Linked DNA regions of Xenopus tropicalis. The protein of the gene in region 2 interacts with the protein of the main gene of each other region in a biochemical or structural test. Links are inferred from orthologs where the notes say so. Each region holds a gene or a part of one and is shown on either strand. Other genes may lie near its edges.

What was found.
Region 1: the proteins of mmp14 (region 2) and timp2 form a complex in vitro, tested with the Homo sapiens proteins (2 studies listed by BioGRID). The link is inferred for Xenopus tropicalis from reciprocal best matches to the Homo sapiens genes MMP14 and TIMP2.
Region 3: the proteins of mmp14 (region 2) and lum interact in a biophysical measurement, tested with the Homo sapiens proteins (2 studies listed by BioGRID and IntAct, with this or other methods). The link is inferred for Xenopus tropicalis from reciprocal best matches to the Homo sapiens genes MMP14 and LUM.

The regions. Positions count from the first base shown.
Region 1 is NC_030686.2:22,380,979-22,385,066, forward strand, and holds the start of timp2 (metalloproteinase inhibitor 2 precursor), read right to left. Parts: upstream 2,801-4,088; 5' UTR 2,739-2,800; coding exon 2,603-2,738; intron 1-2,602. UniProt on the Homo sapiens protein: Complexes with metalloproteinases (such as collagenases) and irreversibly inactivates them by binding to their catalytic zinc cofactor. Known to act on MMP-1, MMP-2, MMP-3, MMP-7, MMP-8, MMP-9, MMP-10, MMP-13, MMP-14, MMP-15, MMP-16 and MMP-19.
Region 2 is NC_030677.2:140,076,232-140,080,457, forward strand, and holds the start of mmp14 (matrix metalloproteinase-14 precursor), read left to right. Parts: upstream 1-1,426; 5' UTR 1,427-1,673; coding exon 1,674-1,754; intron 1,755-4,226.
Region 3 is NC_030679.2:55,472,078-55,476,146, forward strand, and holds the start of lum (lumican precursor), read right to left. Parts: upstream 2,801-4,069; 5' UTR 2,720-2,800; intron 1-2,719.

The DNA.
Region 1 (4,088 bases), on a different chromosome or scaffold from region 2:
AACCAGGCAGTAGGTTGAATGAGAGACTTGAATATGAATAGGAAGATAAGTAATACAAAGTAAAAATAATAATAAAATAAGATCACAGAGCAAAGTTTTTTTTAAAGCTGGAAAGATGTAGCAGAGGAAGACAAATAATTCAAATACTATAACAAATGAACATTGAAGACCAATTGCAAAGTTGCTAGGAATAGGACATTCTATAACATACTAAGGTTAATTTATAGGTGAATCACCCCATTAAGCCATAAGCTGTAGACAAGGCTAGATAACAAGCCATTTAGGCCTTTTTATTTAGCCATCAAACTGTCTTTATTTGGGGACATCCTGCATAAGTTAACTCTCAAAGTCCTAGTCAATTATATTGGAAAATATTATCAATATTAAAAATCTGCTATCAGAACACAATGGTGGTCATCAACCAACTGAAACAACAGCATTTTTTTTTCTATAAAAATATATGGCACTGACCATACATCCTATGGTACAAAGGTTGTTTTTTTTTTATATAAAAATAGGATTCCTGCAATACAGTACAATAAGGTTTCTTTTGTTTTTTTTACTTTCTAGGCAAATGTAATGACAGTCACATGCGAACCCGGAAATTTACTCACTACACTCAAGTACAGCATTGTATACTCTCTAGTGATCCGGCCAGTGACTCAGTGGCCCCAGCAATATATAACAATTACCATACATCCTTCTTGTTGCTCTTTTTATATATTTAATATATATTACCGTAACCAGGAAATTCACTTATTACACTCATGTACAACCCTGTCTCAGAGTTAGACCCAGTCCAGAACCCAACATTTTAGGTACAAATATAGCTTTTTTGTTATGTTAGTATCCCTTTAAGCATTTATTTTTTTTTAAATAAAAGAAATTATAAAAATGGTACATCATGTGATGATCACATCCCTAAAATTGATACTAAAAAAGTGACATCTAGTGGTAAGAAACTGGTGATAGTCACAGAAAATCATGGAGACTTAAAAATATCATTTGCCTCACATCTGAGAAAAACGAATGGCCAATGCTACAGGGTAAAGATATGCAGATAAAATGTAATAAAAGTCAATTATAATAATTCTCTAATAATCAATACAAAGCAACACATTACCGAGGTCTTACAGGGTCCAGATTTTATCAAGCATAGCACAACTGATCTGCCAGATGTTGCTGAATTACAACATCCAGCAGATGGACTGATCTATTCTATAGTGGTCTAAAGTAAACCCAGGCTGCTCATAACACTGCAAACCACATATCATTCCTGAGCACTGTCAGGTCTAACAGTGCTGCTAGACCATGCGACCCACCATTCACAACAATCCCAACGAGTGTCCTTACTACAATTCTAGCATGAACGTTTTGTCAGAGGGGTGTAAGGATTGCATCACTTTTGGCTAAAACAACCAGACACCAGGAGCAATGATAATGTTCAGGCACAAATGCTCAAAACATAGATCTGTGCCTGGAAAGTACAAAGTTAGCAGCTAGGACAAAAGTCTTTCATTCATGGCTGTGAAGTTGAAGGTCTTTGACTTGGCCTGGGAGGCCAGTACAGGTATCGGACCCCTTATCCAGAAACCCATTATCCAGAAAGTTCCTAAATACAGAAAGGCCATCTCCCATAGACTTCATTTAAGTCAGAAAATTCACATTTTTAAAAATGATTCTCCTTTTCTCTGTAATAATAAAACAGTGCCTGTACTTGATCCTAACTAAGATATAATTACCCCTTATTGGGGGCAGAACAGCCCTATTGGGTTTATTTAATGGTTAAATGATTCCATTTTCTCTGTAATAATAAATCAGTACCTGTACTTGATCCCAACTAAGATATAATTACCCCTTATTGGGGGCAGAACAGCCCTATTGGGTTTATTTAATGGTTAAATGATTCCCTTTTCTCTGTAATAATAAAACAGTGCCTTGTACTTGATCCCAACTAAGATATAATCAATCCTTATTGGGGGCAGAACAGCCCTATTGGGTTTATTCAATATTTAAATGATTTTTAGCAGACTTATGGTATGGAGATCCAAATTACGGAAAGATCCCTTATCCGGAAAACCCCAGGTCCCAAGCATTTTGGATAACAGGTCCCATACCTTTACAACCACTTATATGGGTTACTTTTCAAGTGATGCCTTTTGATATATTTTACATGTTATAATGACTGTAAATCCTATTGGGTTTAATTACTGTTTAAATAATTTTTTTAATAGACTTAAGGTAGGAGATCTGAATTATGGAAAGACCCCTTATCCGGATAAACCCAGGTCCCGAGCATTCTGGATTATGGGTCCCATACCTGTATTACAGCTGATGGCTGGAACATTGCTGCCCATGTCTGTATTCTCTAATGTATCTAATATACCTCCCTGCTGCAGGGCTGGTCCAAAAATGGAACAACTATACAGAGATTCCAATGACACCACCTCAGAAGAGCACAGCAGTAGAGGCTATACTCACTGGGCCTGGTACCAACCTGACTGGCAACAGTGACTATTAACTAACACAGCTATAAACCAAACAACATATAACATGCAGCTTTGAACACATCAACATTTTCTTCCATGTTCCAAGGCCTTACCTATATCTGCGTTACAAAAGGCCTGTTGAGGGTGCACTGGTGAGCAACTGCAGGCTTCAGAAAGCTTCTGTGATGGCCACATAAGAACAAGCATAGCAACAGGGAGCAGCAGGCTGGAAACCGGAGCTGCCAGCATTTTCCAAGGCGTTTGCACAGCCAGCGTTGGTATCGGAATGTCAATGTGCTGCAAACCGCTAGCTTGGATTAGCTAATGTTCCAAAGTACGTCTCTTGTCTGAGCTTTGCTGTGTGTGCACCCAGACTCCTCCTCCTGGGCTGTCAGCCACAGGATACAGAGAGGGCTGGGGGAGATGCTAGGGATGTGTTTCCAAGAGACATCAGGGTCTTTAGAAACACGTGTCATATAGATGAGGGCTAATTTGTGCCACCCAAAAAAAAGCAAAGTAATTGACTTGTGTAGGCCCTGCCTCTGTGAAGGCCAAGAGTTGCTCTGCAGGAGGGAAAAGTTGAAATAACATGCTCTGGGTGAACACATTTACTGTGAGCGTGGCCCCACTCCCACCCCCTCCCTTCCTCAGACTGCAGAACAATAGGTGAAGGGGCTGAGGGCTGCCAGAGGAGGGAAAATTAAGAGTGGGCTTTGGGGGGGGGTGCGACATAATCCAAGGAAATGCAATTTAGCATCAGGCTAAACTTTGGATACAGGGCTCAGCAGTGCTGGCTAAACACTAAAGACTTTTCTTTATTTCCGTTAGGCTTCTTTGAGAACTCGTAGGAAAGTTCTAGTCTATGCCGATACTACTTACATTTCACAGTACTTTTACAGTGATATTACAAACAGGAAACCTGAATTGATAAATACCTATTGCATAAGGAAAGATTGTTAGAGGGCCTTGCTCAACTGAGCAGCAACTGAATCTTTTACTACACACAGAAAGGTATACATTATGTACAGTGTATCATTTTATGTTTGCTGTACAGGTATGGGATCCCTTATCCAAAAATCCATTATCCAGAAAGCTCTGAATTACAGGAAGGCCCTCTACCATAAAGTCTATTTTAAGAAAATCATTTTAGTTTTAAAAACGATTTCCCTTTTCTCTGCAATAATAAAACAGTACCTTGTCCTTCATGGTTACTAAGCTGCGTGAGTCCCTGTTGGTGGCAAAACAATCCTATTGTGTTTATTTAATGTCTAATGATTTTAAGCAGACTTATCTGGAAAATCCCCATGTTCCAAGCATTCTGGAAAATAGATTCTATACCTGTGTATCTAGGGATTTTTCAATGCAATTTTAAATGTAATATATCTCTAATATAGTATAATATAATGTATTAGTTTTTATATATTGAAAAAAATACATATATAGTAAATAATGGTTACTAAGCTGCATGAGTCTCTGTTGGTGGCAAAACAATCCTATTGTGTTTATTTAATGTCTAATGATTTTAAGCAGACTTATCTGGAAAATCCCCATGTCCCAAGCATTCTGGAAAATAGATTCTATACCTGTGTATCTAGGGAT
Region 2 (4,226 bases):
TTATTCTGGGGATGTGTAGGAAGGCAAGGCACAGTGCCAAGTCCAGGGCTTGGGGTTTGTTTTATGGGATGTCCAGGAAGGGAGAGAATTGTATGGGGTCATTTTTTGGGTATATCCAACCTGTAGCCCTGAACTCCAGCCTAGCGTGTGCTGTTAGGGAATGGCACTTTTGGCTTCCATGTTGTAATTGGAGGACTGTGCAAGAAGTTAGAAATTCAGCCCTGTTTTCATATAAACTATTGTCATTTGTATTTAATTCGTTCTATATTCCTTATTTATTATGTGTTTTATTTTGGCTGGGGGTCAGGGGTCTAGGAGTAGCAGAACAACTTATATGTAAGGTTACTAGAGCCAGTGATTGGGTTAAATTGTACAACAGAATAAAATGGTATAACTGAAGGAACAAAAGCAATTAGCAAGATTGCTTTCTTTCTCTTCTGTTCTGGCCCTTGTCCTGTAAATTTTAGGGATCTGCTAAGCCTGTCCACACCTTTTGTGTCTCCCCACCCACAGCAGATCTGCTGATCAGAGTGGTTTCATATAACCGCCTTTGTCTACAAAGCACATTTTCAGCCTTTAGCCACAAAACTTAGTCCAGGCGTGTCAGTTTGGGGACCCCCTCCTTACCATGCCCTCCTGTGACCCCATTTAGATTCCTATTTTATGTTAGTTAACTCTTTTAGAGTCTCATGGAGATCTGAGTGCTGCTTAGCTGCCTCTGCTTCACCATACGTGCCTCAGAAAGCACTGAACTTCTTACGTGGTATAAGGGGTGAAATGGGCACTGCCACTGGTGCTGCCACTGTAGGAGTAAATGGGGTGAAGTGGCAGCGCCAGGTCATTTTATCCTGCATGTGGTAAAAGTTCAACCCAGAGGATAAAAGTGAAGTAAGGCCACTGAAAGGCACACAGAAAAGAGAATTCTATGGTGATAGTTTCTAAGCTAATTGCTGGGCAGTATTCTGATATTCTTTGGGCTGCATGCAATGCAACATTTGGTTTATATAGCACTTTATAAAAATAGAAAAAAGTATGTTGCAAGACAATCGTCAACAAAAGCGGCAACATTTTTCTCCACTTCAATTGTATTATTGTACTATACATTATAGAGAGCATATAAAATGTTATGCGTATTTTATTTTGTTGTGTTCAATGGATTTATCACGTGTAAAACATTGGCACAGACTTGTGTGGTTGTGAAACTATAGCTTTCAGCAGAATGCTGGGATGCTGGGAGTTAAATTTAAACAGCTGGAGAGTTTTCATTTGGACATCCCTGCTTTTAGCAAGCACTATTATTGTGTGCACCATGGGCCAAGAGAGGCGGGGAGAGTGGGGAGGGGGTATACAGTGTAGGTGTGGCCTACAGCTGCACATCAATGCCTTACCATTTCCAGCCCAAACCTAGAGACCACGTCTGCAGTCGAAGAGGGAGAGAAGGATAGTGAGGGGAACAGCGTAGTGGGGGCAGTAAGAGCAAGGATACAAGGAAAAAAAAAACTTGATATAACATGCACTGTGAATAACCTTTATAAATGACTCACTTTAAAAAGAGTTAACACATAGTTTGAGCTGTGAGGGGGGTTAAGGGGACTGAACAGAGATTAGTGGATAAGAAACCTATTCTTGCTCTGCAGACAACCACCCTTCAGAGGAGTTTTTACTCGCACAGGATGGAGCCTGTGAGAGCAGCCTGGATTTGCCTTTTTCTGTGCTCTGTATGCAGCTCTAGCTCCGCCAAATTCAGCCCAGAGGTGAGTGTACCACTGATAAATGGATCTTTTAGTGTACTATTTGTCTAATGTAACTTTCTGTAACCGTCTTCGCAGTATTTACTTTTCTAGACCCCCCCCTTTTTTTTCCTGGAGAAGCTGCTGTGGGCTCCCTCAGAATCTGAGGTCACACATGAATCCAGTTAGAGGCTGGAAATGAAATCTGGAAAGAATTCAATTGTGAGGGAGAGTTGGAAGGAACAAATGGAGAACAAGAATCAGACAGAAGGGAAAAAGTCCTGAAAAGCCAATAATTGAGATAGAAGGGGAAAACTAACTATGTGGGGCAGGGAATACAATCCAGATACTATTAAGCATAAAACACATAGAATCCCATTTGACTGTCAATGCAGTGTTGGGAGTTTTAGGTCAGTAACAGATAAAAGCCACCAGTTGTCTTTCCCTGAAATTAGGAATATGAAGGAGACAGTGGGCACTTTTTATCTATAGAAACAAAATCATATTTGTCTCTTTATTCAGGTATATTGATCACATATAAAATGACCCAACAAGGGTGACAGAAGGGGAAAATAATTGAGTTAGCAGATAACTGTAGGAGTAATCCGCAGAAGGAGGAAAATGAGGGAGGAGAGGTTTGAGGGAGGAGAGAAAAAGGGAGAGAGAGGCCACTCCAAGGATCTCCACTTCAACAGAAACCTTTTTCTTTCAGCTCAGTGTCCCAGGCAGCGGGGGAGATGAATTTAATAACAGGGTCAATCACTCTTTTCATTATAGATTTTGGAAATGGTGGGCTTTGTTCCCCACTACAGACCTTATATTATTTAATAGCTCGGAAAAAGTTCTCCACATAGGCACTATTTAGAAATGGATTTGTAAGGACTGTCTCATCAGAGTTCTGAATGTGACTTATAAGACTGATATAGTTACAGGTAAATATTACCTTTATCAAATGTAACTTTTTATGCTTATATTAAGTGAAATATCTTGGATCATTAAATTATTTTTGATTCATGTTTTTGCATTGTCACCATTTCCTCTCTCTGCAGTGAATGCCAGACTGACCCACCTTGTTTCACTGAGGCAAAATGTTAGAATGGTGCTGCTGACACTGCAGTGTGGGTAATAATGTTGTTGCTTAGTGTGGGCAGATGAACACTTCCATTTCCACTGGCTTCTTGGGAAGTCCTAGAAGTCACAAATTGCTTAGTCTGAGAATGTGGCTTGTAAGCCCATAGGCTTCAAAACATGTTATGCTGATTGGCACTTACAAATGTACTTAGTGGTTCCTTTGAGGGCACCACATTTTGGGTTTCTTTCTGAGAGTTTACAACAATTCTGGGAATATAACTATAGCAAATATTTGCTTTGGGGATGGTAAAGAGCACTAAATTAATTTCTGTACATCTAGTATCTGATGTGAATGGGATTGCCCTCAGCTTGTCTTTGTATGATCGCAGGCAATACACATAGGTCACTGGCATAACAGTACCAGAAGGTTGGGGAAAACACAACTTTTGTAAAGTTGTTAATGTTCACACAAATAAAGCTAAAAATGTAAACAATAGCCATCTATGGCTGCAACCATACAAGCGTCAGCTGAGACATTTGTTCATGCCTACTGCTGTGAGCATTCATCCAGCGTTTTCTGGAAAAATGCTGAATACTCAGTGTGAATTGACGCCCAGAGGCCAGTGCAGCAGTTTGGCTAGATAAGCCATTGTTTTTGGGCAGCTGTTGAATTCAGCCTTCCTGGAAATCATCAGTGATATATACATATAAGTGATTTGGCTCACAACAGTTTGCTTGAAGAACCTCTTTTCACATTGTTGTATCCACTACAAATCACACTACATGAAATGTAGACACACTGGGCCACTTAATCATCCATGTAGTCCTGGCTTCAGTGGGTCTTATCTTATATGAAACACTATATTTTCTTTCCAGAGCAGCCATGTACAACTTAATGCTGACATAGCCTGCTTACTTAGTAGGAGAAACAAAACTGACACTTAGGGGCACATTTAATAAACAATTTTGAGATAAATTCGTATTTTTTCTAAATTATAGAACATTTTGAGATGTACACGAAAATTTTGGTAAAATTCCACAAGTTTTTCGTGGTTTTCAGTAAATTCCATAGAAAAAAATCATATTTTTGCAAAGAATACAAACATTTCGCAAGTTAACGCTTTGGTTACACTTTCATCGGGACTATAATTTCGCCAGGTTTGATCTGTTGAGTCCTATGGAAGGCTTCAAAAGCCAGAGATGGAGGGCTTCAAAGCCAGAAATGTTTTTGTGGCGTTTACAAACTTTTTGGCCCAAATAATTTGGGACTTTTGGAAAAATATTGCAAAATTTTCGTAGAAATTATAAAAGCATTGTCGAGACATTTTAGAACTACAGAAATGATCGTGGTTACTTCAAATTTATACCATATCGACTTTCAAGGCCAGAAAAAAACGCATTTTAGTAAATGCACACAAGGCATTT
Region 3 (4,069 bases), on a different chromosome or scaffold from region 2:
TTTTTCATTTGAATGTGGCTCACGAGTATAAAAGGTTGGGGATCCCTGTTCTAAGGCAATGCTGTTTTAATAATAAAACACAATGGCTGTTTGTGCCAGTTAAATAACACTTGTTCCTTAAGATCAATGTGGGAGGGTGCAATTGTTTAGATTAATAATACAATGTAATAGGAACTCATAAATTAGACCATACAGCTGTATTATATTCTATTTCACAATCTACCATACAGCAGGCCCCATAGGGTTGGGGAGAGAGGGGTACCAGGAATGCAGTGGAGACTCGTATTACAGTTAAAATATTTACTTAAGATTACTTTAAATATTACCTTAGAAGTTTCTATTTCCATGTCAAATAATTAGATTTGTATTTAATTTAACAATAATTTAAATTGGCAAATAATTTTACTCAAGTAAGTTAGACATTTGCTGTGTTTTGGGGACGATTCAACAGTGCAACCATTCCAAGGTGCAGATCAGCATCAACATAAGACATACACCCCCTTCCAGACTCAATGACAAATAAGCAATGGCAGCTCTGCTATATGCATTTTTTAAACTGATATGTGTTTTTCAGTGTTTGTTTATATTGTATAGTAAGTGATTTTTGCTAACTTTAAACATCATAAAAATATATACCAACATAAACTAAGAACTGTTAACTCACATGGCAACATCATAATCTTTACTGAGCATTTATAAAGTTGTTCTAAATACATGTAAATAAACGCTCTCTACCATCTGTAGCTTCTATATCCTGTAACTCACAAACGTAGTGACCTTGCATGCACACTGATTGTTTTGAGTCGAAACTGATTTATAGCAATTACTGGTTGAATTTTGATTTTAAATAAATATAAACCAGCCTGTGAGCCAATTCATAGTCAATGCATGCATCTCTTCTCTCAACATTTTATTTTGTCATAACTGCAAACTGTAGCATCTGTTACACAATGTATGTTTAAAGCCTCCACAATTCCTATTATTTTTTTTTACATTTGACCATTATAACTTAGGTTATGGTTCATTCTAAAAACACAGTACAAGTTTAGGCAAGTATGTCATGAATCCATATTATAAGAATTTTCTCTAATTTATTATTTGATTTGGTTTCCTACATACAAGTGTGTGTTGAGTGACTAATTTACATAAGTATGTAACACATATATTAGTAGCAGTAAACACAGAAAACTGCTAAGGTAAGAAGTGTTGATGGAAATTGTTCTTAAACAGGTTAATCCATACTGTAAGGGGCCTATTTATTATGCTATGTAAAACCACACATCACCAGGCTTCATTATGTAAAAAAACACCACCAGAACTTAAGTAAAATAGTGGTGCAAAATCTGGCATTTGGATGGAGAAATTTGCCATTTATTTTACACGTCTTTTTACACTGTTTGGTGAATTTTGTTTTCCACAGCATAATAAATAGGTCCCAAGATGTCCAAGCAGTGCTGAGTCAGGTAAGAGCATGCCATTAATATAAATACTCTGGTCCCACCTTCTGTGGGAGGGGAAGAAGTACAAATTGATGGCATGCAGTTATGCACAGCCATTCCACAGGTGTTAACTAAAGAACACATGGGTATTAGTAGGGGAAAATGAAAACCCATTGTTCACTAAATCCTTAAATTATCTCTAAGCTTCTTACACCAAATTAAATTAACCAAGTTAATTATGCAGCATTTGATAAAAAAATATTTCTTCTTTCTACAGGTTTGATAAATGGTAAATGGTAAATTTTTTAACATTCACCACACTAAGTTAATAGCCTATCTCATACAGACCATCTCATGGCCACAGAAAGTGTAAAATAATAATATATATGTATATATTTTATTTTCTTAATTACAAAAATGTTGTGGGCAGGGGCAGTATAGGTTCTGGCCTGTAACGTAATGTTAATTTTCCTGCTGCAAAAACAAATCACTTACAAATATTTTTGGCAAAGGAAAGATTTTTGTTAGCAATTGAATTATTTTAGTATTAATTTTTAATATGTTTTGATATGTTTGTGCATGTGCTGGGGGGAGAGGTTAACAAAAAAAGTGCAAAACAATGAGATTTGTGCCTTAGTTACACAGAGTGATTCGACACCAGCATCTCCTTATTTTCACATGACAGTGCACTAACATTGCTCAAATCATTTTTATTACTTATTAAGCAAGTTAGGGATGTTGCAAGCTTCTCTGAATATTTACTGTATGTAAATATATTATAAGTTGCATCATTTTATCCTCACATTCACATAGTGATTTTTCTGAAAATATTCAGCAGTAAAAGTAATTGAAGTCATAGCAGTTAAGTTTGGATTGCAGCCATTCATTCATCTTTAAATAAAAGCTTTGCTGCACAGCAAAAACCAAAAGAAAGATTTCTGTTCAAGCGAAATATGCTTTAAAAAAGCCAACGACACTAACGCATTCACTTATAAACTGCTTAAGAAGAAAAAGAAGAATATATTATTCCAGCTTTTGGAAAATGAATTGAAGACATTTGGGAAACAGTAAAAAAACATTCTGAAACGTAGGACCACTGCATATTTCACTTATTTGTAAAATGGTTAAAACCACAGTAATAAAAACAATAATAAAATAGCAGCAATGCAACTATTCTGTTAACTGGTGATAATTTCAAAGCTGGTAGAGAAAACTGAAACATATATTTAACCCAGTCTCAATATTATAATTATATTATAATGATCTGTAATATCACTTACCTTGATGCTGTCCTGTTTAATTCCCTATACAGATTAAGAGACTGATTCAAGTGCTGTAAACAGTGTCAGGAGGGAACTGCCTGCCAGAATCACTGTAATACAGAACAGAAAAAAGAAAGGAGCAGGAGAAAAAAAAAACCTAGTCCCACTGCTCTTATGTCATCATGGTGAGTTTGTGGTGTGGCCTGTGAAGCTCTGAGTAAATGCAGGTGGAAGAATGGGAAGGCACAGCCCATCTGCTATTATTTGCAGTACAGAAATCTGCATAGTAAGAGAGAACGTTCGAGGCATATTCAAGTATCTGCTTACACAGTTCTATAATACAAACTACATTATCTACTTTATTGGGGATTTAAGACATTTGCTTCTAAATTTGTATGTGCAACATCTATGAAAAAGCAGCTCTCTTTTCAGTAGGTCTGCCGTGAACATACAGGGGGTTATTTATTGTTTGACAATGTTGAAAATAGTTGTGCCAGTTGTGTCCATTATTGCAACAAAGTCAGCTCTGCAGTGTCCACATAAACATTTTGCATAAGGATGGCAAATTAAAGCATATAGTTATAAATATAGACATATACACATCCCATCCTTGCATGCATGGTGCATATTGTAGTGCATCAAAGGGTAGAACTATAACGCAGGTTTAAGGTGCAACAAAATCATGTTGTCAGGATGGAAGTAGCCCATGTTTCTTGATTCTTGTCAAAAAGCCATTCTGTTTATAGTCCTGCTGTCATAAATAAGCCCCAAAGCATCAGCAAAAGATGACAAACCTTATACAGTCACAATGAGTATGGCTCGCCCTGTTCCTTCACTGTTTCACATCATCTTAATGGCAGAAAAAATACTCCACACAAACTCGTTTTTGGCATACATTAAATGGAAAGTATTTCAGCTTGGTTTTGGGCTCTGTTGAAGAGCATCCTGGTTTTATAATACTTGCCAAAGTGGTTGATTCTACATGCAAAATGGCATTCTTTAGAGTGTTAATGGAAATCCCTTATTTTTGTGGCATTGATTTCAAAATATTAAATATTTTCCTCTCTACATTTTTGTGGATTTTTTATGTTGTGAGCTAAACTAATAACAGAATCCCGGTGGAGAAATATTGTTATATATACATGTGGGTCTCAGCTTTAAAATACTTCTTCCAAAAATCTGAATTTAATCAGTGGTTTGCTGACTTCAGTTATTTTCATGGAAAGCGGTCAAGAATTTATATCTACAATATTTTTAATGTTTAACAGATAGATACTGCCACAATGTTCTGACCCTTAAGATCTTTTATTTTTGGCACAGGTAATTGCCCTCAGTAGCTGAACAATTAGCTTTCAAGTCTTTTTATTG